Struthio camelus: one gene and its partners. The protein of the gene in region 3 purifies or fractionates together with the protein of the main gene of each other region. This does not show direct contact. Links are inferred from orthologs where the notes say so. Each region holds a gene or a part of one and is shown on either strand. Other genes may lie near its edges.

The links.
Region 1: the proteins of DYRK1A (region 3) and CTBP1 purify together in Homo sapiens (affinity purification with mass spectrometry; 4 studies listed by BioGRID and IntAct, with this or other methods). This does not show direct contact. The link is inferred for Struthio camelus from reciprocal best matches to the Homo sapiens genes DYRK1A and CTBP1.
Region 2: the proteins of DYRK1A (region 3) and TRMT61B purify together in Homo sapiens (affinity purification with mass spectrometry, with the first as the bait; 3 studies listed by BioGRID). This does not show direct contact. The link is inferred for Struthio camelus from reciprocal best matches to the Homo sapiens genes DYRK1A and TRMT61B.
Region 4: the proteins of DYRK1A (region 3) and RBL1 purify together in Homo sapiens (affinity purification with mass spectrometry; 3 studies listed by BioGRID and IntAct, with this or other methods). This does not show direct contact. The link is inferred for Struthio camelus from reciprocal best matches to the Homo sapiens genes DYRK1A and RBL1.

Annotation. Positions count from the first base shown.
Region 1 is NC_090945.1:79,520,070-79,527,367, forward strand, and holds the start of CTBP1 (C-terminal-binding protein 1), read left to right. Parts: upstream 1-4,293; 5' UTR 4,294-4,401; intron 4,402-7,298. Other genes in the region: E3 ubiquitin-protein transferase MAEA, read right to left, coding at 3,467-3,535. UniProt on the Homo sapiens protein: Corepressor targeting diverse transcription regulators such as GLIS2 or BCL6. Has dehydrogenase activity. Involved in controlling the equilibrium between tubular and stacked structures in the Golgi complex.
Region 2 is NC_090944.1:123,417,277-123,424,386, forward strand, and holds the start of TRMT61B (tRNA (adenine(58)-N(1))-methyltransferase, mitochondrial), read right to left. Parts: upstream 3,007-7,110; 5' UTR 2,992-3,006; coding exon 2,506-2,991; intron 2,428-2,505; coding exon 2,325-2,427; intron 1-2,324. Other genes in the region: WDR43 (WD repeat-containing protein 43), read left to right, coding at 3,351-3,593.
Region 3 is NC_090942.1:122,405,411-122,412,614, forward strand, and holds the start of DYRK1A (dual specificity tyrosine-phosphorylation-regulated kinase 1A), read left to right. Parts: upstream 1-4,192; 5' UTR 4,193-4,212; intron 4,213-4,778; exon of another isoform or gene 4,779-4,951; intron 4,952-7,204. UniProt on the Homo sapiens protein: Dual-specificity kinase which possesses both serine/threonine and tyrosine kinase activities. Exhibits a substrate preference for proline at position P+1 and arginine at position P-3.
Region 4 is NC_090959.1:872,792-880,673, forward strand, and holds the start of RBL1 (retinoblastoma-like protein 1), read right to left. Parts: upstream 3,005-7,882; 5' UTR 2,964-3,004; coding exon 2,826-2,963; intron 1,905-2,825; coding exon 1,771-1,904; intron 774-1,770; coding exon 573-773; intron 1-572. UniProt on the Homo sapiens protein: Key regulator of entry into cell division. Directly involved in heterochromatin formation by maintaining overall chromatin structure and, in particular, that of constitutive heterochromatin by stabilizing histone methylation.

The DNA of each region.
Region 1 (7,298 bases), on a different chromosome or scaffold from region 3:
GTGTGTAAATACCTGATAAAAGGTAGTAAAGAAAACAGAGCAGAACCTTCTCAGTGCCAGTGAAAGGATAAGAGGCAGTGGGCACAAACTGAAATACAATTAATTACATTTAAACACAAGAAAACCCTTTTTCAGTGTAAGGGCGATTGAACACAACATATTGCCCAGAGAAGTTTTGGAGCTTCCATCCTTAGAGATATTCAAAATCAGAGTGGACAGGGCAAAGCCCTGAGCAACCTGCTCTAGGTGACCCTGTTTTGAGCAGAGGATTCGGACTAGATGATCTCGGAGGTCCCTTCCAACTTCAGCTATTCTGTGAACTCAGCTCAGAAACAATGTACACTTTATCTATTCATATTCTCCTATCTGTTCCACTCTGTAGCGATCAAATAAGTGTACTTCCAGCAGAAATTAATATTGTATTAAATCTGCTGCCAGTATTTTTTTCTTCCCACAGCTGCCAACCCTAGAAGCTTACCAACAGCTCTGAGAAGGTGCTCAAGTATCCTGTGCTTTCTTTTAGATCAGCTGCTTTTTAAAGCAACTGCAGCCCAGCTAACCCTAAGCTGTTACCAATGAACAGCCCAGATAAGATTATTTTGAGGAGTGGCCATCCCTGCTTCCAGGTATTCCCTCTTTCAGTTTTACTGAAAATGGGTTTTACTCCATTGTTTTTGCTAGTTCAGTTTAACAGTTATTTATGCTTCTAAAGATATGGACAAATTCTCTGGCTTCCTGTCATCACTTCTTTATTAGTGCTTCAGCAAAGAACAGGGATAACAATGTTAGCATTCATTTATTTTCAAATCGTAGACTTCCATGTTGTATGCTTCCAGATGAGACTAGCATAATTTCTAACAGTAGGCTTTTTTTCCAGAGCACTGTGGAAAAACAGCTGATAACCTTCTTGTCCTTGACAAAGCAGTAAGGATTTTGGGGGGGGGGGGGGGGGGACAGAGAGAATATGACAATAAAACATTCAAGTATTATTCTGTATACTTAAACTGCTTCCCTAGGTTCAGCCAAATTCACTGTTCCTGAGCTGAATTACTAAAGAATGGCTGAGGCACTTCCACTTCTGAAGTGACCACAATTCAGCTATGGAAAAGGGATTTCCCTTTGCAGTTTTAAGCACTCGTTCACATGGAAGGCACTCTGTAGAACATACTGTAAATGCAGAGCTATTACACAACTATTATCTAGTGATGCTGGCATGAGGAAGTTAGAGGGAAGAAACAGGAAGGATATAAATACAAGTCTACAATCTTTTATATTTTACTCATATCATGGAAAAATACCAATGTCCAAAGCTCTAAGAAAATATCTTAACTACCACACTGGTAGCCATTTAAAAAAAAAAAAAAAAAAAAAAACATTTCACACAAAGCATCTGAATAAACTAGAAGCTCAGAGGCCTAGTCCCTGAGAAACTTTTAGGCACTTGCCTCCTACAGAACTGAGTGGGATTTGATATCAATATACTTTTATGGACTTCAGTCCTAACGTTCATTTCCCCTGCTGCCTTTTCACCTTCATCACTAAAATGGTTTGACATACGACCCACTGCTAGAAACATTTAAGAGGATACATTCAAAAGATTTGAGCAGACTTTGCTCTGGGTTTTTTTTTTTAAAACAACAACAAAAAAGTCATTAAAGGCTACAGGAACAACCTAGAAGTTGAATGAATGTTGGAAAACATCAATAGACATCACTTTTCCTAGGAAATGGGTTTAAGAGTTTCAGTACAAGGGTGTTTCACCCTTTTGCTATTTAAATGTTTAATTTCCCATCACTACAAGCCACATTCCATTCTCTTATGTGTGTTTTGGTTAAGATCTTTGAGGGAAGAGCATGCCTGGGAAATATAAGAATATGTCCAAAATAATCTGTACCTTTTAAATGGCTGGCACCTTGACAACTCATCTAAAGTCATAACCAACAAAACAAAAACTCATTGATCCTCACTGCCAGTAATTTTTCAGGAATGTAACAAGCAAAGCTGTGATAACAACTTGCACGCATCTAAAATGCGGCCTTACAATGATCTTCTTACCATTAAATACCTTCACATTGTTCTGGCTGTGGAAGTACTAGAACACTCTTCAAAGCTATTTTAAAATTTAAGCCTGATATTGTCAGCTTCAAAGCACTTGAAGGCAACAGAAAGAAGCCGTCATACGTAAAACGGGAATCAAGATTTTGTCCTTTCCCTGCTTCTTGGAACTAAGCAGATCGAAGCAGAGAGGGTGGAGAAGGAGGGCATGCACAGGAAGAACGCTGCAAAAAGCACACAGTACTTTGTGGGTGAAAGTGCAGCATGATCTCAGCAAAAAAAAAAAAAAAAAAGTTTACTTTGCATAAACACCTTCTATACATGAAAAAAACGACGATATGCTGACACAAAGGATGCTTAAATAAGTCTTTTGCAATACAGAAGCCTTCTCCTGTCTCCCTCCCACAATCACCGCTATTAAACAGATTTGCTGTATATTCAGCAGAAGACTTCAGACAAAGCTTTCCACTGATTCCTATGCGCATCATCCTTCCAGTTCAACAATTCTTAGAAGCAGTGACCTTAATGCTCAGTGCCGAGTCCTTCATTTGCTTTACAATGCCTAGCTCAAAGCGAGGACCAGCTACGCAGCAGTCTTGGGAAACTACCACCCTTCAAACATTCTCAGCACCTTAACAAACACCCCATGCTTTTACCAAAGCTCTGTCCAACCCTAAATATTTCGCTTACTCGTCCCCACAGGCCTCCCGCCTTCCTCCAGCATGTTTGTCCCTTTATATGTTTTAGCTCATCTCCATCTTTGGGGAAAACCAAGAAACCAGGGAACCATATTCCACTACCACCTCCACTCCCTCCCCTTTAACACGTCTCTTAACAACGCCACGTAGATCCAGCTAATCAGCCGGGACGAGCATTTAGAGCAACCCTCGGGCTGAGAAACCGTGATTCACACGCCCCTACACCCCCTGCCCCAGCCGGACTCCATCCTCACCCCTCACCTCGCCCTGTCACCCCAGCTCAGCCGTGACTTGCCCTCTCCCCCCAACCCCGAGCAGCTCCGCCGGCTCTCGGTGACCCCCGGTTTTGTGGCCGGTGCGGCTCGGGGCCTTCCCCGCTCACCTCAGGGCACGGAGGCCCCCGGCAGCAGCAGCAGCACCATATTCCAGGCACGTCCCTCACCCACGGCGCAGGGGGAAGGGGGCGGGGGGAGGCACAAACCGCGGCGCTGCGAGCCCCGAGGGCCGGCGGCGAGGCAGAGGGCGGCGGGAGAAGTGCGTGTGGGGACCCGCCGCCGCCCCCCGAGGGGCGCCTGAGCCGGGCAGCGGCCGGGGCGGGGGAACGAGGGGGGGGGGGGCAAGGCCGCCGCTCCCGCCCCGCCGAGACGCTGGCCGAGGCTCGGCCCCTTCTCCTCCGTGCGTGTGGCGGCGGCGGGGAGAAGCTCGGCACCCACCTTGAGAGTGGGATACTCCTGCACCTTCAAAGTCATTGAGAGCTGAGCAGCTGATTCCTGCACCGCCATCTTGGACTAGGCATCAACCTCCTCCCTCCTTCCCCGCCCCCCCCCCCGCCCGGACCAAAGGGAGCTACCTACAGCGCGCGCGGCATGACGGGCAATAAAGGCCTTCCTCCTCGCCATCCCTAATGGAGACGGGCCGAACCAACGGTGCTCGCTCCTGCCGCCGGCCCGCCCCCCTCTCCTCTCTCCCCACCCCCCCCGCCGCGTGGTACGCTCCACGGGACGGTAGTGGCGGAAGAGCGACAGCGGGGCAGACAGGCGCCAACCAATGACGGCGGGCCTTCTGCACGTTCCTTTGACACCGCCTCCGCGCTTGAGATGCCACGCCTGATTGGGCAAGCTGTGGAAATGGGCGGGACCGACCGGCAGCGCGGACAAATCAAGTGGGATGACGCCATGCCTCCGGGCGGGACTTTTAGTGGTGATTGACGCGCAGCCGCCCAGCCGCGGTGGAGAGGCTTTCCCCTGGCCCAATCAGAATCTCCTGTAGCCCAAAGTGGGTGGGACCTAAAAAGTAAATTTCGATGGTGACTTAAAACGGCCGTTATAACAACCCCCCGAGGTGTCCGGGAAGGAGAGGGGCGGGACGAGGGGCGGGGCCTATGCGCAGAGCCACTTGACAGGCAAGCGGCCGAGCCAATGGTTTCGCGCAGCCCAGCTGACGGGCACGGAGTCGAGCGAATGGGCGGCGCGGTTGGGGCGAGCGGGCGGGGCGGCGGCGGTGGCGGCGGCCGGGCGTGCGGGCCGTGTGTATATTGGCCGGGGGGAGGGGAGGGGGCCGGCCCCTAGTAAGTTCCGCGGGGAGGAGAGAGCGAGTGAGAGTCAGTGAGGCGGAGGCGGCGGGAAGAGGTTTAAATAGCGGAGACAGCGTGAGTCCCCTTCCCCTCAGCTCCCTCTGCCCGGCTCGCAGCCGCCCGCCTCGGTTTCCCTCCGCCAGCCCGCTGCGGAGCCAACGCTGCCCTCCGCGGCGGGGAGGCCCCGAGGGGCCGCCCTCCCCCGCCGGCTGCGGCCGGGCCGGGCCGGCGCTAACTTTGCGCAGCGGGGCGGGAGCGGCTCCCCCCCCTCCTCCTCCTCCCTCTTCCTCCCCCTTCCCTCTTCCTCCGCCGCCCGCCTCGGCAGCCGGGCTGGTCGCGCCTTCCCTGGAGGGCGGCGAGGGGGGTTGGCGGCCCCCCGGGCCGTCGCCATCGGGGAGCGAGGCCGGGCCGCCTCCCGCGGTCCCCTCAGGAGGGAGGAGGCGGCGGCGGCCACCGGAGGAGCCGCCCCCACCGGCAGCTGCCGCGCCGCGTTATGGGTTTAGATTAGTGATTTTCACCTACCTCCCCCCCCCCCCAACCGCTTTCGCTTGGCCGTTTCCCGGCTGTGTTTGGATGGAGTCGTGGGTCTGCCTCTGGCCGGCTTAACGCTGCTCGTTCGCCCCGGTGACAGCTGTGCGGTGCCTCAGAGGGGTCCGCAGCTCCCCCAGGAGTCGCCGGGTCACGGGATGAAAAGGACTGGTTTAAAGGAGAAGTGAGGGTGCTGGGTGTGTGTGGAAAGGGCCTGATCCTGCCGACCGCCCCGACTTTATGTGTCTGAGGGAATAAAAGCGCTCGTGAAACTGTTGGCTTCTTTGCAGCACCCGGCATATGAGGTTTTGTATTAATCCTCAGAGCGTCGATATAAAAGTTAACGTGGAGAGGGAGGTGTTTTGGGGGTTCAAAACCGCATGACTTTCGTCCTCCTCTTTGGCATCCTGCGCGGAGTTTCTCACCGCCTTGGTGGGTAAGACGGAAGGCGCTGTGTGAGCGAGACCGCGGAGGTGCTGGGTGTGCAGCGCAGCACCGCAGAAGGGGTGACGTACCGATCGGAGGTCGCGCGTGGAGCGCTGCGACCTCCTTTCTGATGTCGTCGAAGCCAGCGACAGAGTTCCCCTTTCTCGTGAAAGTTCTCGCCTTGGTGATGGGCTATGCTTTAGGTAGTGTGCTTTTGTGGGTTAAGGCTTTAAGAAAACCCCTAAACCTTTATACACTAGTAGCTGTGATATTTTTGTTGTCTTTCCTAAACTTTGTGGCTATGTTGCTTCTGGACTGCAGAAGACTGTAGAAAAAGAAACACAGATATTTCCAGAAAGGTCAACACACTTTGATAGTTTGAGAGAGCAAGGCTTCTTTAACTAAGACATGTTTGTAGAATATTTAGTAACGTTCATTTCTAATTTACATAGGGCCAGTTGCACTGAAAACATGTATCTGGCACAAAGGGCTGATGGTGAATAAAAGAAAATGCGTGAACTCCTGTAGCTGAGTGTTCCCTTCAGATCTGGACTGCAAACTGTCTACTTGTGTTTACTCTGAGCTGCATTGCTGCCCTAGCATTGTCTGGTATTGACCATAATCAGCAAATGTATGCCTAAATGTAATTTGCCAAGCCCACACCAGGTGCAAAGCCTTTGTTTAAAAGTATATTGGTAAAATCATTTGTATTAGTTGCACCTGGGTTTGACATTCATGCCTAGACATGATCTTGGGGCCAGATTCTGCAAGAGGATTTGTGTAAGGAGGATTTTGACTCCATGAGGGTGCTGTGCAGGGGATGGTTTACCTGATCTCACTGAGTGGAGGACTGGAAACTTAGTTCAATTGGTGCTGTGTTTTGCAGCGTGCTTATGTAGCATTTTAAGATCTTCATATTGTATTTGCGTAGTCTATTTTAAATAGTCTGTAAATAGAAAATGTCCTTCTAAATATTAGCTTAATATTCCATATCATTAATGTTACTAAACTGCTTGAACTTGGCACTTTTTAACTCTTTAGGCCCATGTGTAACATTGGTAGTGATTGAACATGTGTGCCTTTCCATGTAATTTACTAAGTTGTGTATATTTATGTCCAAAAATCTTATTCACATCATATTTTTGATGGGTAATATCCTCAATGGTGCTCTTCGATAAGAGAGTAGCTAATTTAATGTAGCCTAAATAAGAGATGATTCCTTTGGTACAGTTTTGTGCTCAGACTGGGTCAGTCTTTACAGTGGAGAATTATTGGTGAAGGTTTGTCAGACATTAGTAGCCAAAGTTGAAGGGTTTGCCTAATGGAACAGATGGCCAAGCAACCATCATGTCAGAGAAAACAGCATGTATTCCATGTATTCTTAGTTTAACACAAGAGGGAGCATGTCTAATCTTTAACCTTTAAATATTGCAACTTCAGAAAGGAAGCTTTAATTGCTGAGTATCAACTAATTTATGCTCTAGGTTGCGTGTGCAAATATTGATACAATTTATGCATATTTTTGGCATATTTTCAACATTAGGTCACAGCTGTTGATTTATAATACAAACGTTGTCATGGTGAATGTGCAGATTACAACTAGGCTAACGATCTTCTGAACTTGTTACAATTTGTAGTTTCCTGATCAATTTAACAAAATATTTATGGTTATTGTAGGGATTCATAGAGATTATGAATCTCTATTTCAGATAGAGAAATAGAGATTTCTCTTTGTATTTTAATGTTAGATTAATTAATATATTTCTTCTGCTTAACCTACCATACAAAGTTACAAAGCCCGGGTTTAATTTAATGTAGTTAAATTACCAATTTAATTTTGCTTTTACAGCTTTTGTAAATTCTACTGCTTTATCCTTAAATAGGAAATACAAATTTTCATCTATTGAGAAGGTTTACATACCATATTTTGCTTTTTTTCTCCCTGTCCCCTAGTGGTGTACAAGAAGGAATAACAGTCAACTTCCATTTTGTATCTCTTGGCGTTGTCCAGTTGAGCC
Region 2 (7,110 bases), on a different chromosome or scaffold from region 3:
AGTCAGAAGGAACCCATTAGGCAACACGGAAAAAGGAGAGAAACTATCTGCAAGTGCAGGTGAGTCTGTATGAAACGGCCACAGTGTAGCGAACATCCAATGTAGTAACTAGTCTGCTGTATTTAGCAAAAGCTAACTTCTGCATTAGCAAACAACAGGTATGTCTTTTCCTTCGGATGTAGGGTCTGCACATAGAGGAAGATGGGAGAAGATGAAAATGGCTCTATTTCCCCTCTCTCCAAATACATCTCCGGAAAGTAAAGTGGTGACTTTCCTCTTCTGTTTTGTTTGTTTCTAGCTCCAAGGCAGCAAAGGTTGCTTTGAGGATGATGGCATACTATCTTCAAAATCCCACCATGGAATCACAGAAAAAAACACATATCATATGAAGACGATAGGAAGAAATTGTGATTAGTAGTGGGAGGTGGAAGGAGGGAGACGGACCAGAGGCAGAACTGCTAACCTCAAAACCTGGGCCCAACATACATCAAGACGACCTGCAATTGAGTGAGTTTGGGGCAGCATTTAATGTCTTACCATTCAAATAGTGTTTCCAACTGAATTGGGATGCCAGACAAAGTTTACTGCAGCTAAAACAATTGGACTGAGCAGAACAAACTGTCCAGCAGGGAGTCCTCCAGATTCCCTTTTTCTGCTGCTGGTGTGCCCTTGCCAGATACGCCCATTTTCAGCTGCGGCTGGATCTCAGCACTCTGGTTTGTACCATTCACTGAGCATAACTCTTCCTAACTTTGATTTTATCCTCAGCAATACATCCTGGCATCCCAGAAGAGAATTGGATAGGTGGCCCTAGTAACATACTTGCTCAATACTAAGCTTCCTCCGAAGATGCTGCTAAGACAACTTGTGCTGTTATCCCAGAACTTATGTAGAAAGACAGTTGGACAACTGGGAGAGTAAAAGAAAGTGAATTCACTGCCCTTACGTTCTAAGGTTATTTAACAGCCTTAAACAAAAAAGGTGATTTGTTCAGTTTGTCTCTCGCATGAGAAGGCGGGAGAGAAAGCATCACTTCCCATAGATATTAGAAAGTATTAGAAGTGGAAGTATTAGAAAGTGGGTTTTTTTTTTAATCTGGAAGTGTTGAATGATACCAAGTTTGATCACAAAAACAGCTCAACCCATAAACATTTTAAAAAGATAGCATAATTTATAATGCTGATTTGTAACCAAACGGTGAAAAATGCTAAAACACACACACACAAAAAAAAAAGTGTTGAGGTTTCACATAAGCTCAGGATAGGTGGGTGTTTCTCAGGTTCAGTGACCACGGCTGGCAACTTCAAGTATTTAGTTATAGCGATGGTGGGTTGTCCACAAACCCTGTCTTTGAACATAGCCATCAGGATATGCAAATTCCACTTCTTTTTTTTTTTGGTTATACCAGTTTAAGATGATCTATGATGGGGTTCCTGGCTTTACCCTCATAGCTCCTTTTAACGGTGCAGGGAAGGGGCAGTATCGTGCATCAGCAGAAATAATTTTTAGAATACCAGTTTGGAAGAGATTCAAACGATACTTTAATGCTCAGGTGTAAGCAAAAACAGTAGCAGCAAACAAAGAAATCAATACCAAATTATTTTTCTTGGGGAAGTTATCAGGAGCCCATCAATCAAATTACTCTGCAGTTTGGTCCACTGGCACTACACAGGATGACTGCAGGCGAGATGAAGTTTAAGGGTGTAGTTTCCCATTAGAACAAAACTCACCTAAGAGTTGGGTGCTGCCAAGAGGAGCAGTTCTGCTCCTTTACTACCCCAATCACATTTGCTTGCCACTTTCCCTTGCAAATGCCAACTCTCCTGTGACCCTGCAGTGAATTTACTCAGGGAGTGAAACTGGCAGGAAACTAAACCTACGATCTAGAGGAAGGAAAAGAATAGCTTTCAGCCAGACTCGCTTTCCAAACCAGCTGCTAACTAACAGATTCAGACGGCAGAAGTGCAAGGGAGAGGGCAGGACAGCATGGCCCAAGGCTCTCTACCTTTCAGAGCACCTACACCCAGATCAAATCAGGTTAGGTGTAACATGAAACAACACTGTGTGTCCATGTAGATGTTTTCACCCAGCACGCCAACACGCTGATTATTCACGTGGTCCAGCAAAGTGAGAAAAGGGAAACTGAGAAAGGTAAGGAAGTGGATCGATACAGATCTAATTTTACCTTAAGTCAATGGAGTATATACAAATAAGAAAACTGCAGCAAAGCCTGAAAAACAGACTTCAAGATCTTGATGAATGGAAAAGCAGCAAGCGACGGAAGAAATTCGTTGCTCCTACGCTTGCTTAACCTAGGGCCTTACCTGCTCTTGACAGATACAAGCTCAGAGCGCCGGATCCGCTGCCGCTTTCCAAAACGGTGTCTCCCGGGTGGAGGTCCATCATCATCAGCATGGCGCTCGCATCCTGCGGGTTACAAAGCACGCCCCGTTACCAGCCTGCGGGAGGAGGCAGACGCGGCGGCCGCCCGGGGCGCGGCGGTACCTTGGGGTAGGCGATGGCGGCACCCCGCGCCATGAGCAGCACGTACTCCTCCAGCGAGGGCCGCCGCACCAGCAGCCGCCCGCCGCCCGCCGCCCGCACCACCTGCCCGGGCAACCGCCCCACGATGTCGTCGTGCGGCAGGAGGCCGCGGGGGGTGGCCAGCGCCGCGCCCGCCGTCAGCCGGCACAGCAGCCGCAGGGCGCCGCGCTGCCCGCGGCCCAGCTCCGCCAGCGCCAGCTCCCCTAGGCGCAGGGGGCCGCGGCCCGCGCCGCCCGCCGGGCCAGCGTCCAGACCGGCCGCCGCCGCCTCAACCTCCGGCGGCAGCAGCCGCTTCAGCCGCTCCAGCGGCGACAGGGACGTCTCCCAGGCGCGACGCCGCCGCCGCTGCTGCTGCTGCTCCCCGCCGCCGGGGCAGCAGGAGAAGGAGGCGGCGGCCGGCCCGGAGGGCGCCGCGGGGCCCCGCCGCAGGCCGCGCCAGGCCCGCATGGCGCCGGCCGAGAGGCGCTGGGGGGGGTGTGGGGGGAGGTGCGAGCTGAGAGCCGCCCCCGCTAACGGCTGCGGGCGGCGGCGGCGGCGGCGGCGGCGGCGGCGGCGGCGGCACGGATAGCAGCTCCCCCCACCTGCCCGTCTCCACCACACACGGCGCGCGTGCGCCGGCGCAGCGTCACTTCCGGCGCGCGGCGCGGCGCGCTGACGCCACGGTGGCGGCGGCGGCTGCGGCGGTGGTGGGGGGGGTCGGGTCGGGTCGGGGTCGCGCGTGCGCGGTGCGCGAGCACGTGGCCGCTGGTGCGCCGGCGCGGCGGGGCGCGGAGCGGCGCGGAGCCGAGGGCCGGGCCGGGAGCGCCATGGCGGCGGCGCGCGGCGGCGGCGGCAGCAGCGAGGCAGCGGCAACGGCGGCGCGGGCCCCGTGCGCCTTCTCCCCCGGCGACCGCCGCTCGCTGGCCGTGTGCGGCGCGGATGGGCGGCTGCGCGTGTGGGAGACGGCGGGCAGCCGCCTGCAGCACGAGTACGTGCCCTCGGCCCACCTCAGTGCCGCCTGCACCTGCCTGGCCTGGGCGCCGCCGGGCGGCCGGCAGCCCCCCCACAAGGTACGGCGGGGCCGGGGGGGGCCGGGGCCGCCCGCGTGGCCGCGCCGCTGCGCTCCGCCCCGCCCTCCGGGCGCCATGTGGCGGCGCGGGGCCGCGGCGGCGCCGGGGTTTGCCTTTCCTTTCCTCTCCTTCCCCTTCTTTGCCCTTTTCTTTCCTTTTTTTCCCCCCCTAAGCGCCTCGGCCGCGCGGAGCTGCGGCGCCCGGGCGCCTCGCGGTGCGCGGCCGAGGCCGCGGCCTGAGGGGCGGCGGAGGCCGCGGGCGCGTCCCGCGGTGGGGCCGGGGCGCGCGCGCGTGTGTGGGGGGAGGGTTGTTTAGCTGGCAAACACGCCGAAAGCTCGGCAGCAGCCGCCTTGACCGCGTAACCCGCGCGGAAGAGCCCTTCCTTGGCGGAGCAAGGTACGTTGTTTTATCTGGCGCTGGCTTCACTGCGAAGGTAGCGTGAGAGAGCGAGCGGGATGCCGCTCCCCGGCTGCTAGCTTGTGCCCGGCTCAGGTACCCTGAAACACACCGTGCCTCCGCTGGGAGGTGGTTCCGTGCAAGCTGCTAGCGCGTCAGCGGCGAGTCTCCCAGAGCACAGGAGCGCGGCGCGGAGGTACGGGGTAACTTTGTTCTGGGCCCTCATCGGAGGGCTTGGGAGTTCCCCAGGTGGAATTTGCGTTATTTAACGCTAACTGAAATGAGCGGTCAGCCTGGAAATAGCCAGAGGGTAGCTCAGTAAGATGCCATTTGATCCTGTTTATGCTGAAATAGTCTTACTCTCGCTAGCTAGAACATACCGTTTCCTGAGCGTAGCGTGTCGCTTGGATAGAGTATGCACAATCCACCCTCTTTGTCATCAGAAATACGGTGACTGAGGACTTCTGAAAGTGTTTTGGTGTATAGACAATTTAGTATATTGGAAATACTGTAACAAGTACAATGCGTTAAGCACTTCAGAGATGACCGATGTGAAGGAAGGCTGCGTTGTTCTGTTCTTATCAGTTCAGAAACTCAACTTCTAAACTTTAAAAGGGCATCTGAAGCGTGTGGTGGAGTCCGTTAGTTTTAGGCTGACCTTTCTTAAACCTACTTGTTTGTAATGTAACTCTGAAGGGGGGGGGACATAAAGGATAAATGCATTGAATTAGTTGGAAAACTGGAAATTAATTGGAAATTGGAAAGCTGTGTAGGTTCTTTTGCACTCTTTCTTGTGTCCAAAGTGAAACTTGCATATGAAAATGGGGCTAATCTATACCATCTGTAGCACGCCTTCAAAATCTAACATGGTGCCCTAGGTAAGCAGAGTAGGTAAGCACAGGAGGTTTGAGTGACTTGAAAACTACTCATCCCTTTCTAGATGGGGTCTAAATGTCACAGGTACTTCAGTTTAACCTTTGTGTAGGGTTGCGTGAGGAAGGGGCTTCATCAGACAACATTTGGCTACATTCCAGTGCTCTTTATCATCCCCGTAGTGTGAACACTGTCAACTGCCTGAAAGTTGGTACATTTTCAAGGGGAACTGGAATGCATGCCATGTCTTAGAATACGTATGCCATATACTTTCATTACTCATTGGTTTGTCCTCAGACGGAGCTGAAGAGCTAAAGCAATGGGTATGATGGGTCTGTCAAATACCTTGTGTTGCATATGTTTTTTCTAACATTATTTAGTCCTTTTTTATTTTTGCTGGAGAGTTGAAAGCTTTGTAGCTAGTACTAGTATCTGATGTTCAGGAGTAACACTCTACCTACCAGTAGATATCTAGAAATGGTGTTTGGCCAAGTTGCGCTCAAACTATGTATGTTTGAACTCTTGGCATGTTAATGAAGACCATGTTTTTAGAGGGGAATATTAGAAATTAGGTTTTGAACTCCGGGCTCTGGAATTGCTGGTACTGTGGTGGCTTGTTGGGACATTCCCCGCACACGTGCTTTAGTTGTGTGAGTGCTTCCTGCTTGTCATGTTCACGATCTCCCTTTCTATGAACTGGTGCCTGGTGCAGCAGTGTGTGGTCCATCAGACTTTCAGAATAGCTTGCTCCAGCTTCTTTGTGAGAAGTTACAACTGCTCTGTCATCTTTAGCACTAAGGTTCTTCAGGGCCGTCCCCACTGCAGTGTTTTAAGTGCTGTACTTTACACCTGAGCAGCAGGGATGTGGTTTCTTGGGGGCGGGGGGTGAAGTCTTGTATGTCAATGTCTGCCCTACTCTAGTAGGAACATTATGAAAGATCATGTGCGTGATTCCTTTACTTTTAACTAATTTTAACCTTTCTTACTAATGAAAATACTATGCTTTTTTTCGGTGGAAGTTGAAGGAATTCTAAATACGTTAAGTTTCCATAAATCTGAAAATTCAAAAGTAACTGACACTTGGTATAGTTAAGCTCCCACACCCTATCCATGAAAGCTGGATATTCTTATTTTTAAGGCCCTGATCTACAGGTGAGTTCCACGTGGATCTCTGCTGCAAGTTTGCAAGAAGCCTATCTAAGCACTATCCAGTGTGGGTCAAGAAAGGAGTTTGAGTCCTTTCTTAGTACTCAGAGTGTATTTCTGAGACCTTTCCAACACTGTCTGCGTTTCCCACTGATAGATCTTTGAAGCAAAATTTTGTAACAAAATGCCCAATTAATAATGCTGATAAAGGCTGGTCAATAGAGAAATACGATGTAAAAAGAGTCTTTCAAAAAATTTTCACTGCTCCTAGCTTTCTCCTTGGCTTTGGAAATACTGTGGACGTCCATATGATTTTGTTGCTGTGTGATGATACCTTTTGGATTGTATCAAGGGAAATCAGCCATAACAAGTGGAACTGGTAGGAGAGCAATTGAATTTTAGTTAAAGACTTGAGTGGAAAGAAAGAGAAGAAAATCTGTTCTTGTTTGTGTTTTTGCTTTGCAAAAGGGGATGGGGAGGTGGCAGGAGTAACTGGTAAAACTTCTGATACTTTTCAGATCTCTTCAGACAAAGCTGTACCTGCATCTCCACTGGCTTTGCAGTCCTTGCTTTTGCATGTCAAAGAACTGTTTCAGGATGGCTCAGCTGGCAAAAATTTAACTAGTTTGTGTAATGCATGGATCTTTTATTGTATATTGTCTTAAAACCTGATTGATTCACTTGGTTGTACTTTGCAACTGCAGTGGTTTCTCGGCACCTGTGTTTTCGCTATATTTTATAAACACTTTTCCTTTCCCAGAAAGATGAAGTCTAAACAAATACTTGCAAAAAAGAGTGACCTCTCCTTTCTCCGGAGCCTGCTTTTGCTGTAAAAATAGTTACATGGCATTTCTCTATTTATTGGCTTAAAATGAATCACTTTTTCTTTTGGAAAATTTTGCCTGTGTATGTTGAATGCGCGGGAGAAGTTCCCGTTTCCTCAGAGAACCAAAGTACGTATCCTGCACTGTTAAAATTTTGAAACTGAGCTGTGGTGAAAGCTTCTAAAGCTTGGTTGTCATTATGTCTATGGGCTTGAGTAAAAATTATTTACTTTTGCTGTGCTATGCCTATTGTATGACAGGTAGCAACACCCCATGGG
Region 3 (7,204 bases):
ACTCCGTTTCTTTGATAAAAGAGAAAGTAAGTAGGTACACCTCTTTATTTTATTTATCACTGTAGCCATCTGTCATGCCTTATCCTATTCTTCTTTTAGATGACAAAATCTATATTTTCCTACCCAATACCAATAATAACCATCAGTACTGGAACTCTTTGTTTCGACTGCATACTTTCTGTGGTAGTCCTGTACCTTTGGAAGCTCTTGGATTCTCTAAGTTCCAGTCACAGCCATTTCTATACTGGTCCTAAGTCTACTTTGTTCATAGCATAGATATAAATGAAGACTAAAAATAGAGGAAAACAGGAAGGATTATATTTTTCAGTGTAATCATACTGAAAGACAGGCAGAAAGAGAGATAGTCAAGGAAGGTTGACTTTAAATTTCTGATTAGGATAGTACAATGCTTTGAATGTTCTATATTGCTTCACTTTGCACTTATTGAACTTAGAGAACCTTGTACTGTTTTGTTGTTTCTTCTGCATTTGTTCTGTTTTTCTAATCTGTCGTATATTTTTTCTCCTCTTTCAATTTTATTTCTCTCAGATCTTATTTCTCCACACTGTACTCTTTCCTCCTCATTTTTCTTTTTAGGTACTATTTTTTCTTATTTTGTCCTCAAGTTTTCTGCTTATTGTTACTTTTTCGACCCAAAATATACTGTGTGTTCTAAGGTCAGAGTGTCTGTTGGGCAGAGAAAACCAAGTATTTCTTAGGAGGAAGTCTACTTGATTATAAAGATGCAAAATCCTGTTTTAAAGTGTGACACTGAAACGCTGTCTAAACCATCCTTAGGTTTTTGACGGAGAGTAAAAAATATTGCAGAACTGGGAAGAAAAGGATTATCAGTCTTTCCTCTCTCAGTCTTTTCCTCTCTCTTTCCTTTTTTCCTAAAGAAAAAATTGTAAGATGTAGTAACTCCTCATTATGTGGAACGAAGCAGAAGTTAGCAAGTGTTTGGATCCCCTTCTTCTGGATCAGTCTCTCTCTTACATATTCTATTTCAACTACTTCTTTCCAAAGCTGATCTCTTAGGAGCTCTAGGTCTCTTGCTGTCTGTGTTTACTTTTGGCCTATTGCATGGAGTTCACCAGCAAACTCAGCTAATGTATACCCTCATCTTCTATCCCTTATTCCCCCTCATGTCTGTCTGTGGAGTACCAATGTTTCAGTTATTCCACAACAACCATTTGTGGGATATGTTACATAACAGATCAGGGAGCTGATCTGGTTTTAAAAACAGAAGAAAACTTAACTGCTTGCAAGCTGAGAGTCTCTGCTTGGAAGACCGTCACTTCCCAAACGCTAGACCCAACCTTTTCTCTACCTGCAGCACAGAAGAGGACTTCTAGCTACTAGTGATGAGATAAAGCTCTGTCCTACTACCAGCCTATGTGCTAGCTTTCCAGGTGGGCAGGATTTTGGTATAATCCCAGCCTGGAAGGCCCTAAGATCTCTAACCCTAGACAACTTACCTGCAGTAGAAGACACAAGACCTACTCCCAATACATATGGGCAGACAACTCCATCCTGATGCCAGCTCTCACCCTAGATCTGTGGCTGGAGCAGGATTCTGGTAGAATTCTAGTTCATGGGGGCCTTGTTCCTTAATTTTAACCATTAACAGCTTCAATGCTTTTGAGCTGTTGAGTTACTGAACAAAAAATTTTGTAGACAGTTTGTGTGTGTATGTATATGTGCTTTTAATGTAATGGACATTTAAGAGAAGACTATTGTACAAGAGAAGAATAGTGTAGGTTATTGATTATCAAGATTATAACAACAAAACAAGACTATGTAGTTGTTATATGCTGGGCAAAAACAAAAAAAAAAAAGGCCATCCCCTTATGTCCAATAGGACACTTCAACTTTTTCCTACACGCTCTGTGTGTTCTCAGCTCCAGTTGCCATATACCCATCTCTGCAAGCTTGGCTATAGCCAACAAAATAAAAGCAGAGGATTACAGAGCAAGTGCACAAATGCATGAGAATTCCGTAATCTGTTTAAGCATTAGCCAAAAAAATTATAAGTTGTTACATGCTGTATAACATAATGTAATATAGTAAATGCCACAGTATGTTTGTATGAGCTTTGTAGCTACCCACACTGAACAACAGAGCTAATCTTCCATTGCATTTTTCTGCTGCTCCATGTCACCATCCAGAGTAGCAAGGAGATTTTAGCAAGATTTACAACATCCTGATGGGGACAGACCTCACTGTCACCAGCGTATGAGCTGCCCTTCCTTAGAGGTCAATTGGACTGAGCTTACGCAAGACAACTAATGCTTTCTAGGTATTTTTGATTTCTTGTGCAATATACCATGCACGCAGATATCTTAGGACAAAATATGACAATATTAACATGGGAGTCTTTTGAGCAGAAGCAGGTGAATCTGTATGCCTTTGTTACACTGCAGAATATGCATGTTGGCTTTCCTCATCCTGGGGTAAGAATTGCATTCTGATCATATTCTAGGGAAGAAAGACGTGTAGCTTAAAGTGACCTCTCAGTCTTTCCAGGAGTGAGGGGAATGAGAAATGACTGCTTAAACCCACTTAAACCATGCTGCTCCTGAACACCTACCATGGCTTTAAGGTGCAATTTCATGGATGACTTAACTTAACCTAACCCCATGCTGTTACTCAATGGGCTGGTCCCAGGCTTCCCTCTGCCGTGTGTTCCTGCCCTATCCTAGCCGTACAAAAGAGGTTTTCCTGTTTTCTGTTTTGTCAGGGTCGGTGTGTCAATTACTCTATGCTAGCACTCCTGTTGCTGTAGAAAAGACACAGAGGGACTAAATAGCTAGAGGTGGAGAGGGTGGACTGCTATTTTCAACAGCAACAAATTCTTAGCTCAGTTGAACTGCTTGTAAAACTGCATTTGTACAGCTATGGTTAGATAATTGGGGACATACTACTTTGGCTGTTACTGCACCTACCTTTAGCTCTGAAATTCAGAAAGAAATAAGGAAACAGAAGAAGAAAAAGTAATGGCACAAGTGTTAGTAGTATGTCCTAATTTCTTCAAGGGGCAAGGCTGACTGTGAACTAAAACAACAAGGTTAAAAAAAAAAATCAGGTGTCAGAATTAAAATACTAGATGAAGGCCACATTTTACTTTTTGGATCTTCATGGATGCTCCTGGGGGAAAAACAAAAAAAAATCCCTAGCGTAGATTTACATTAGTAGTATACGTTCCTAATTCCGGTCCGTAATAAAAAGTGGAATTAAGTCTTCCCTCAAGAACCCAAGGCTCCCTTCCCCACCACATACCCACAGCGTGAGTGCCACACGAAGCAACACCTTTTTAAAATATTTATTAAAAAAAATGAATATATCTATATTTAAATACATCTTTCAGTGCGAGATGGAGAGGAACCCTGCGCCCACCAAGCCCCCATGACAGCCCTCTCCCAGCTCCGAGCAAGGACACCCGCGGCCACAACGCCCCGGGCGGCCCCCGTCCCTGCGGGGGGGCGGCCAGGCTCCCTCCAGAGCCGCCCGGCCCGCCGCCGGGTTTAGCCCCTCCGCAGCCGGGCGGGCCCCGCCACCTGCAGGCCGGGGAAAGCCCCGCCGCACCCGCGGCGTGGAAGCGGCTCGGGCGGAGAAGCGCGCGGCTCAGCGCGAGGCAGCGGCCGTTACCGTTACCGGCCTCGCGGCGCGAAAGGAGCGGCCGCTGCCCCTCCCCCACCGCCTGGGGCCCCAGAGCGCCGGGGCCATCCCGGCCCGCAGCGGCGCGGATATCGTCACATGCCGGAGAGGCGCGGGGGGGGGGGGGGGACGAGGGGAGGCGGCAGTTGCCCCGGCGACCAAGCCCCGCCTTTTACCCGTCGCTCTCTTCCCCACCCTCCCCACGTCAGCGGCTGTCTCCCGCCCGGCCCGGGTGGGGCGCAGGGGTAGCGTGATTGACAGTTGCCATAGTAACAGGCTCGCCCTCGTCGCCATTTTGTCAGTTAGCTTTTTTTTTTTTTTTTCAAAAAAAAATCCCACCCTTCCCGCCCGAATTGTGGAAGGTTTTTTTTTTTTTCCCCTTCCTACCTCCACTTCGAAAAAAAAAATTATCAAGCAAGAAAACGGAATTCCCTCCCCCCCCCCCAAAAAAAAAGAAAAAAACAACAACCCAAAAAACTGTCTTGGAGGGCCCGGCGGCGGCAGGCGAGAAGTTCGCCCCACGCGAGCGAGGAGAGGCTCGAAGCGGCGGCAGCGGTGCGGTGCGGGGCCGGCGCAAAGCCCTGGCGAAGCCGGTTCTGGAGGGAGGGGGGAAGAAGGAGGAGCGGGCGGGGAGGGAGGGAGGGGGAGGAGGTAGAGGCTGGCAGGCGGGGGAGGGAAGGAGAGAGGGAGGGAGGGAGCGAGGAGTTCCCGGGGGCTCGGTACGGCGCTGCGCTTCCCCCCCCCATCATCCCCTCCTCCTCCTCCTCCTCCTCCTCCCCCCGCCCGCTCGCGCCCGCCCGCCGCTGTCCCCGCGCTGCCTGGCCGGGGCTCAGGCCGCCGCCGCCGCCGCCGAGCCGAGGCCGGGCCCTGCCGTTGCCGCCGCCGCCGCCGGGCGCTGCGCAGGTTTGGAACGCGCGCCATTTTGTGAGCGATAGAAAATCCAACCCGGCCAGGAAGCGTCGCGGATCCGCCCGCCGGGCCGGGCCGGGCCCCCTCTCCCTCGCTGTCCGCCGCCCGGAGAGGAAGGCGCGCTGCGGGCAGCCCCCGCGGCCGCTGCTGCCCCCCCCCCGCCCCCCCCGCACTCCGAGCGGCACCGGCACCGCCGCCAGCCGCGCGGGCCCGAGCGCGGCGGGGCGGCCGGACTGCGGAGCGCACAAGAGGGAGGCGCTGCCGTGCCGGGGCCCCTGGCCGAGGCCGGGGGAAGCGCTCGCTCCTCGCTCTGCGTGTGCCCGCCGCCCGGGAGAGGAGGCCGGAGCCGGGCGGCAGCCAGGGGTCCGCCGCCCCCCCCCCACGGGTAAGTGAGACGCCTCAGCCGGTGGCGGGGAGCTGCGCAGCGGGACGAGCTGGTGCCACCTCCCGGCCCGGCGCGGTCGAGGGGGGCGCAGCGCAGGGGGCAGCTCCGCTGCCATCTTAGAGAGAGGAGGTGGGGAGAGCGCAGGGGCCCGCCGAGCCCCCGGCCGGAGCTGGCAGGGCCCGGACCCGCACCGGGCTTTGGACCCGGCCTTCCCGCCGCCTTCCCTACCGCTGCCCCCTTCTGGGGAGGGCCGGGAATGGCCGGGGGCAGTGCTGGCGGCCTCTGCGCGGCTCGGAGGCGGCGGCCGCCTCTGCGGCCCTTTTTCCCCTCGGCGTGTAGGGGAGGCTGTCGCTGCCGGATTGGGAAGCGGAGCGGCGAGGAGGGTTGCGGGACCGGAGATGGAGGAAGGGAGTTTGCCTGGCTTCTCTCGCTCTTATGCGCAACGCCCTGCGGTGGGCGGGTGCGAGGTCTCGCCCCGGTCTGGGAGCAGGGAGAGGGGGCGAGGAGGGTGTCAGGAGTTGAACAATCAGCTGAGCAGGCACCTGTTGTGGTGGAGGCTTTAGGTGCCCCTGCCTGCACCCCTGCAAGAGACTCGCGTGGTAGGTGGGGAACTTGGAGGCCGATGAAGAAGGAGTACCTGTGTATGATTACTGTCATCTGGGCTGGGGGTGGGGTGGGGTGGGGAAGAGGGGAGAGAAGCATTGGGCATATGCACACGGGCATACAGGTGCTTCTGTATTTTAGTGGTTGCCTGCAGTCTTGTAGGAATTCAGCTTTGTGTTGCTGAGGAAATTAGAGACTGCATCTGAAACATAGAGTGTGCTCTCTGTGAAGTGGCATTTCCTCCTGCCCCCCCCCCCCCCCCCCAGAATCGGAATACACAATTAAAAGAACTACAATTAGGAATTTTGAAATGGGTGCGTTTTTGAATCTCAATCAGCTTTGAAGTTTTCAGTTTAGCCTGTCCAAAGACTATGCAGGGGTTCTTTGATCATGTGTCTAGATTGCTGCTGTTACTTGGTTCTCCTATTACTCCACAGTTATTGGGGGAAATAAACATTCATTTTTCTTTAAAATTAACAGAGAGTATCTGACTACAAAATAAATCAACAAGCATGTTTTTGACAATCTACCATTTTAATCATGAAGAGTGTGTCCTGTTAACTTTTGCCAGTAGGCACATGCAGTCACTTTTACATGAATATAATATCCCAGAGATCTAGATAGGTAGAATTTAATTTTTTATTATTTTATTAGTATTTCAGTGTCCTTTCCCTAAGAAAAGGAGTGTAAAACTGAAGAATACATCAATGATGTCTGGCGACAAATAGGCAAACATTTTGTTTGTAGTAGCATTCAGTTATCTGCCTGTAACTGTGTATAATTTGACTTCTGTCAATGGAATAGTCTGTAGGCGTAAGAAGTTTTGGAAAAACTTGTTTCTCCTTTTCTTGCCCTTTACCCTGACATCTGTAGATTAGATATTTTTGGAAAATTTTACTTAATACATTTAAAATAATAACACTGAAATTAATTTTGAATATGAGCTGGTATTTTTCTGTTAACTATTAGCCAGATATGTTTAGTGAACTTTGGGGGGGGGGGGTATATAGATATATACAGAGAGAGACTACTTTTGTAGGATATGCTTAATGTTTTTGGCTCATATGAACTATTTAGAATTACAACTTTTTTATTTACAGTCTGAAGTAGAGCGTGTTGTGTTAAATTTACATTTTCTTCTGTGAATTAAAAATTCCGGCAAAGTCTCCAAGACTTAACAGGTTTAATTCATTGATTTTGAATATTCTTTGAATAAAGTAAGAAGTCTGTCTTGTTCAAAATTGAATACAGAACATAGTCTTAAATCAAGAAAGAGGACAATTCACACTCTTAAATTATTGTGCACCCATTATAATTGTTTCGAGGCTAATAGAAAGTTTTTTACATCAGTAACAATGTTGAAGTTACTGACTCAATACTTAGGAAGATTTTGGACTTGTCATTGGAACCCCCCTCCTCCCATGTTGGACAGTTGCAGAGAAGCAGCAGCAAGGATAATTTTACCAAATAGCAGCCAAGAATTTTCAACGACAGTTTATGAGTAGTGTTCTATTACTTGTGTAAAATAATGATGTAGTAATCAGGAATTTATCAGTTTTTAAAGTATATGGGTTTTGTTGAGAGTGGGAATTTACATATGATGCTCATAAATGACTTATCGCACCCATGTTAAGTTCACACGGAGTAACG
Region 4 (7,882 bases), on a different chromosome or scaffold from region 3:
ACCAAAGCATCAGTCATCCCTTCAACACATGCAACTATTACTTGTATTACAGCTTCTTCTCCTGCATTGAGTTTGGCGTAGAGATCATCCAAAGCCACGGAACTGGAAATGCTTTCCCATTCAGCACAGGCAGCTAAGACTGTACAGACGGATTATTTCAGGACATCAACTACCTGAGGAGGTACTTTGCCAAGACAAAATACCCCTGTATTACTTCAGTTATTTTGGCTAAACATCATCAGTACTGCTCTTTGCGGGAGTTAATCTATCTCACTGTAGCTCTTCCCATCATACAGAGACATTCTCATTACAAGCCAATATCCGAATCCTACAGTGAATTGCAGAAACAACATACAGAGGAAAAGCTCTGCTCATATCAGCACTATCCCAGCAAGATGGAGGGGTCCTTCTTTATTCATTGCATTTCAGAGTCAAGGCCACAAAGCAAAGTGACCCTACCACTTCAGAACCTTCCCGGACTTTTTAAAGCACAAAACATGATCTTAATTTTTGTAAAGCTGTACCATAGGTAGCCCTTTCCAGGGAAAAGTCACATTAAGCCTCACAAATACCTCTGTTTCCTGCTTCGTTGTGGTTTAGAAGTTTCTTCGTAAGGGTTTTGAAATACATCCAAAAATATTGGTTCAAACTTTTTGAAAATCACAGTTGACACTTCAAAATTTCTCTCCAGCCTCTCTACTCGCTCTCGGAACTCCTGTGGTAGATTTGACATGTCCATCCACTTTTTCATTTTGCTAAAAAACTGAATTAAACTTCAAAGAAAAAAGAAAAATCTGTTTTATTTTGAGCTTTAACTAAGTGTATTTATTCTGTGAATTTCTGACCAAGGCAAAATGCCTTTATTTTGATGCACTGCCAAACTGTACACGTTGGAAGCTTTTAGCTTCTGTATTTATTCCTCTTGACTCTCTTGAAGCCACAGACATGGAAAAACCTTACTCGCATTCAAAGGCTGCCAGCACAGCAACGCTGGTTAAGGGAGGGCTACAGACGGAAAGAGCGTACATAGCTACGCGACTGTTAAGGGGGAGGGAGGGGAGGCAACAAAAACATGAGTCCATGCCTATCAAAGCTACCTAGACAAAAAAACATTAAATGCAGGTGTAATTACAGCGGCAAAAATCCCTTTGGCAGTCCAGCTGAAAATGGTTCTTTAAATGGAACATGAAATTCATTCATTTCAGTTATATCATTGGTTACAATTATAGTGGCAGCATCTATGTAAGCAGAGCTATCTACTGGAAAAACCTTGAAGCACATAAGTATTTATGCAATCGCGCAGTTCTGCGTCCCCAAAAACGCCAAACGACATAGCAGTCAAGACCGAATCTGGCAATTTGGCCTAAATCCCGAGTCAAATACAGGTTTTATCTGGATTACTAATGAAACATTCAGAAGTCTCAATTGTGTTTCAATTAACTACAAAAAGAAAAAACCCAACTCTGTGGGTGGAACAACTGTTAGTCTGATGTGGGTGGTTTTTCAAAGGATTGAAGTTGAACTCGGAGGGAAAAAAAAAAAAAAAGTATTTGCATCTTATTTCCATTTGTAACGAAAGAGGATTTATTGCTTTTACAACGTTACCTCGGGACATGCAAGTTTTGCAGTGCTTGGAGTCTTGACAAAAATAAAAGCCTGGGTGCCTAAATTACTAAGCATACGCTAATGGAACAATAAATTACTACCTTACATACTGGAAGAGTCAGATTCTGGGACTTCCACAATAAGTAACAACGTGAAAAAATTAACCTTAATTTGGCCGAACGTAGTATCCTGGTCAGCGAGACGCAGTTTCCTTCCATAAGGCCGCTTCCAACGGTCGGAATGACGCTCTTGCGGCAGGCGACGTACAGAGCGCATGCCAGCCAATGGACAACTTCTCCCTGCCAAACCACAGCAAGGCACCAGACTGCTGAGCCAGGAAAGGCTGCGCTCAGCTTACACCTCAGCTTTACAGAGCCTCCAAAAACCTCTGGTGACAATAACGAGAACCAGCATGTGGGGAGCTGGAGGGCTTTCTTCTCCGCACGTTTTGCGGAACTTATACAAAAACATATATCTATGCGCATACACATACACAAGGAGGTTACTGTTCTGTTTTTCCATTCAACTTGCAATAATAGAGAGGGCAGAGGATGTATTTTTTGAAAGAAAAAACAAAAAGTACACAGTGTAATTTGGCCACCGAGGCTAATGCAACAGCTGACATCTTTCAGACTCCTCCGGATATATTTTCTAACTGAGGATTACAGTAAGCACATGCCCATGTGGCTGAAGAGAAACGAATTTCAAGTAGAACTAATGAGTTCTTAAGACCAGGTTTTTGCAATACGCTTTCCCATTGAAGAGGGATTAGGAGATAAACGAATAGTGTATTGGCTGCATATTTGCCACCTAAATTTAAAGGGCGGTTTCAGCACCCAGCCACAGCCGAATCAGCTCCTACCAGCAGCGGCTTTTTCTGGGCGTGCAAATCTGTTTCATTTGTTATTTGACGAGCTCACACTGGCCTCTGCGCTCTAGCGCTCACAAGCGACGGCGAGTCGGAGCCACAGGAACCCCCGAACTGCTCCTTCCGGCCCAACCGCGGCAGCCCGGGGCGGCGGCAGGATGACAGCGGCCCCGGGCCGGGCCGCGCCGCCGCCGCCCCGCCCCGACCCACCGCGTCCCGGTGCCCCCGGGCGCGCCCGGCCCGCGGGCAGCGACGAGCGCGCGAAGCGCCGCGCCCCGGCGGGGCCGGCCGCCCCCGCGGCACCCGCTGACAGGCGGCGCGGCCCGGCCCGGCCCGGCCCCGCCGCCCTCACCTCCAGGCTGTAGGTGCCGCGCAGCGCCGTGAAGTCGCGCAGCGCCTCGGCGGCGCTGGCCGCGTCCAGGTTCAGCTCCTGGCAGAGGCGCTCGACGGCGGCGCCGGGCTCGGCGGGCGGCGGCTCCGCGCGGGACATGGCGGGGCCCGGCCCGGCCCGGCCCGGCGGCTCCGCTCCCGCAGGCCCCGCGCGCCAACTCCCCCTCACCCGGAAGGGACCGGCCCCTTCCGCCGCGCCCCGCCCTCTTTTGGCGGGAACGGGCGGCGGGGCGGCGGCCGGGCCCGGCGGCGAGGCGGGCGGTTGCTGGGGCGCTCGCAGCCCGTCCCGGCGCGGGGCCGCCGCTCTGTGCCCGCCGCTGCATTACCTGCTCGCAAAACGAGGATGTCGTTTCGTGGCAGCTTAAGGCAAAACAGTGTTAACGTGCTGTTTGTTATCGAGGTAATGAGGACTACCGGTTCCCGATTACCGGTATTATTAAAATCAAAACGAAACGTTCTGCCCTCTCTCTCGTTCTCCTTTCATTCATTTATTTTTTGGCAGGTCCCACATTCACAGGGTCTTGCGGCAAGCTGGTTCTGGGACGTGATCTTGTTACAATTTTTTTTTTTTTTGGTTGGGCTCATCTCTGCCTGAATACAGCCCCCAAAGCGGCCGGCCATGCTCTGCTCGACTGCCAGCGCCGAGGCGGGGAGCGGGTGGTGGGGCGCGGAAGGATTTTTAATTGGCTTAAGCTGCTGGGAAGCTGTGACCCCAGGGAGAAAAATGGGATGTGACGGACGAGAAAGGCGCTTTCAGCTGCTGCAGTCAGCTGTCAGCAGATCGGAGGGGAGGAGAGGGGCTGGGCTGGGGAGTTGCCGGGGGGACGCGACTGCTTGGCCACCTGCAGCATCTCCGGCCCGTGGGCCGGGAGGGCAGCAGGTAGCGTCTGGCAGATGCCGCGCTCAGCCTCCTCGGCCAGGAACCGCAGAGTGTCCCCAGGGCAGGACGGCGGTTCCTGCTCTCTGGGGCCTCGTGACAGCAGGCAATGCTGGTAACGACGCTGCTGTGGAAAGCTGGCTAGATCGCTTTATTTTTCAGCATTGATGTGGCTGCATTCATCGATAGCTGTTTGTGCTATTTTTAAACGGGCTGACTACAAAGACCAGCAAGAAACAGTTGATGACTTTAAAAAATATTCCCAACATCAAGATATGAACGGGCGCCAGGCAATCCGCCTCAAACTGGAGGGATTTTCTAGCAAATGTGCAGCGAAACAGCTGGCAGAAGTAAACGCAGGACCCGCCCCCGTCCTGCGAACGTGGGGTTACACGTAGGGGGACGGGGGGCGGCGGGGGCCCGGCCGGCCACCGACGCCGCCCGGGACGGGCCTGCCGCGCCACCGCAGCGCCGGGCTGGCAGGCGCGCTCTGTGGAGATCAGAGCAGCTTGGCGCTCGTTGCCGAAGGTGGAACGCAGGTGTCCTCTCGCGCTGCGCTGCGCTTCGCTCCGGGGTTGCGCTGAGGCTTTCTCCGTGGAAGCGGAAGCACAACGCGCGGGCAAGTTTGCGCCAAACAGCAAGACCGTTTCTTCCTTCTTCATCATCACCGGTCTCGGTGTAACGCTGCTGTGCGGAGACGCCTCCGTGCCGGGCTTTCCGGCTGGCTGCAGTCGCTCTCTCTAACACCCTTTGCTCTCAAATGGCAAAGATCCTGGGGCACCTGTGATCCCACTGACCTTTGTCTTCTCCTCTTTACCTGCCGAAACTCCAGGGGTATTTCATGCCGTCACCTTCGCTGTGATACGAAATGAACCGTTTGAGAGACCTGAGCCGCATCCTTGTTTGTATACCCCACCTTGGGTTTAAACTGGTACTATTACCGCTGTGGGGAACGATTAATAATTTTGAAAGAACTAAAATAACAAGCATATTTACGCCTTATCGTTGAGTGAACCTAAGAAGTTAGCCGGTAGGGACAGGCAACCACACAGGGACAGGTGAGCCACTATATTACTGTTGACTCTCTGCCCACTGAGAAAACCACAGACTTTGTGTCCAAGCCGCTGTTCAGGAAAGCAGGAAAACACTGTCATTTCACGGGGGCCCTGCTTGCCATGCTTGCAACCAGGGCCGGAGTCTGAGGCAGGGGAGGATGCACTAACTTTCCAATGAGAGGGGCGGGCGGCTTTTAGGGAGCAAAAAGAAAGAAGACTAGAAAAGAAAGTTAGAAACGTCTCAGGGTTTGGACAGCTTGTCCTGTTTGAAAGCTTCCTTAAAAGTGACTTAAACTCATGAGGCCGATTTTAAGCCACAGTAGCTGCAGCCGCTCTTCCCAGCAGCCGTGCTGGTGCTGCACCAGGAGAAACCGGCGGGCGAAGGGGGACGAGGTGGGCGCGGGGTGAGCTCCGCAGGCTGCCCCGAGGGCTGCGCGTGCCGAGGAGGGGGGCTAGGAGGGCTGGGGCTGTTTGCAGCTGAATTTGGGGCTTACAGGAAAGAGAGGGAAGAGCTGCTGAGGACAGTGAGGGAGGGATGGTCACAGGCAAGGAAGGAAGTGAAACCACGATCAGAGAAATGAATCTGAGGGATGTTCAGTATCTGGCCGCATCAGTGCTGACAATTCAAAGTACTGCAGCACAAACATTTATGGTACATCCAATTAAGTTCAGTCGCTTTTACAAGTAGAATGAGGGCATTTGGCCCCTCAGTAGAGATATAAACTGGAAAACTGCTCAGGTAACTCCAGTTTCCCATCGTTCAACTGAGCACAAGTTACCTACTTTGTAAAGCGTTCAGCCCCTGTTCTGCGGTGCCTATAAACATGTTTTTGAAAGTTATTCCCATTTGTGGGATTATTCATAGCTTTAGAGTTAAGCATGTACTTAAATACTTCGCTGGATCAGTGGATCTGAGTGCATGTTAAATTTAAGATGTTGAAGCTCAGCGTTCTAATCAAATTTCAGTCATAGGATCAATTCCCTTTAATTTAGTTCAAGTGGAAATTCAGAGGCAGAACAAAATTGCCAATTTGGCTTAATTAGTCACAGACTGTTAGCATTAAAATAGCACTAATGGCTGAGGTACTTCAGAGCACTCCAAATATTTGCTGGGAATATATTATCCCCATACAGGCTTTCAAGTGCTGTGCTGGCTCCCAGCTGCCTTGCGGTGGGCAGCAGCAGTCCCCATACTGGGTGATGCTGCGCAGCACACCTGTACCCCATGTAAGGGTTTTGCAGGCCATTAGGCATGTAAAAGTACATTTATAACCCTCCGAGCCAAAGGTTCCAGTTACAGGTATTCGGCCTTTTATAAGGTGACAAAAAAATTATTGGAGACAGCGTGGAGTGAGCATGACTTCTTTAGCTGGGAGCTAAAATACCCATTTGAGATGGAAGGAGGAGACCTGTCTTTCAAGCCCCTTGCTTCAAGACTACTTGTGTTTTTAACAGTAAATGGTCCGGTGCATAAAATACATCTTCATGCGCTGGAATAGGGCACCTCTGGAGCCCCAGCACCCCTAGAGCAGGTTACCAGCCTGATTAAGTCAGGTCCAGCAGACGCGCTTCCACATCATGTTAAGAGTGCCTCCCACGCTCTTCCTCACTAACTCGTGAAACTGCTGTTCATGAGCAGCTTCAGCAGTACCAGCCTCAATGACCCCCTGCGAGGAAGCTCACACAGCAGCTTCTGACCTGCCCTAATTTATGATGGGACAATTTAAAGCAAACAGGTGCTGACTTTAGTTTTTATTGAAACGTTCGTCTGCAGAGTGCAGAGGCCTAGGCACCGTTTTATGAGAAGTCGCTCTAGCTCTGCAGCAGGAATTACACACAAATGGCAACGCAACAACTTTGTTTGCAGTTGCCACATAGATTGTTCCCACGCAAGAGTTAATAGTCTTTAGTTACCTAAAGCTGTCAGTACTTTGGGTAAAAAAGGAGCCACGCTATAGTAGAGCCTGTTTCTCACTGAAAATCGGTTCAACTTGGAGGCTTTTGAAACTGTTGCTTAACCTAAATACTAGCTTTAATCCAAGCACCTACATATGTTTGAAAAAGATTTGCTCTCAGAGAAAGAAAAACTGAATGCCATGAAAATATATGAGAAGAGCATTTACTCTGATAAAGCAGTTTACTAATCAGAATCCCACAGTCGTATTTATTCCTCCGGGTACAAAGAAGCAGAAGGAAAGGCCTTCTATGAGGGGACCTGAGTTTTTCTTTTGTTTGATATATACATCTGCTCGGATATTAGAAATCTGGGTTCTTTTTCTCAAAAAATGAAGTTAGTCACTGTGGGGGCTTTTGCTTTTAAAATTTGTCTTTCTAAATGGTAGAGGCTATTCCTGTAAAACGCCTCTTTTTGCTACAACATATCCAAGATACCTGTCAGATGAAAAACATATTGGTCAAATGCTTTGCAGGAGCCAAGACAGATGACAAAACACTTTGCAGAGCATGTGCTGCAGACTCCCACTCTTCTCAGATGCTCTTGCAACACAGACTGGGGCTATTCCTTGAGAATTCCCCAAAGGATGGTGCTATTCTTGTATGAGCCGATACCTTCACCTAGACTAGTTATTGGAACTTGGAATGCCAAGCTAAATCACTAACGTATCGTGCTTATCCAGAGCACTGACAAATAGAGGCCACTTAATTGTGCCAAACTGAGCCATTCCAGTCCCCTTTTGTTAAATTCAAATTAGATTGCAAACGGTGTGAGACAGGGAAATGCAACTGATTTTCTACTGGACTGGAGTTCTTGGGTTACTTTATGCCTTTTGGGCTGAGAGGAGCTGGATTCTCCAGTTATTAACGGCTGCTTAGCACCACACTGATGGTCTTGAGCTACCCTTGGGTGTGCAGTGAAATTGCCAGTTCCCAAAATTCACATAGCGGGAAGTGGAGGATGGTGCCCCACTGGCTTCTGGGCCAGCTACGCAGTCTGAAAAGGGCACTATGTGGACAGCACAGGAAGGGAAAGAGGTGACAGAGTGGATTTCTCTTACCACTAATTCTCCAGAGTTGCTATCCCCTTCTCAAAGCCGCTGCTCCGTCTGCTTCTGTCCACGTCACGAGGAT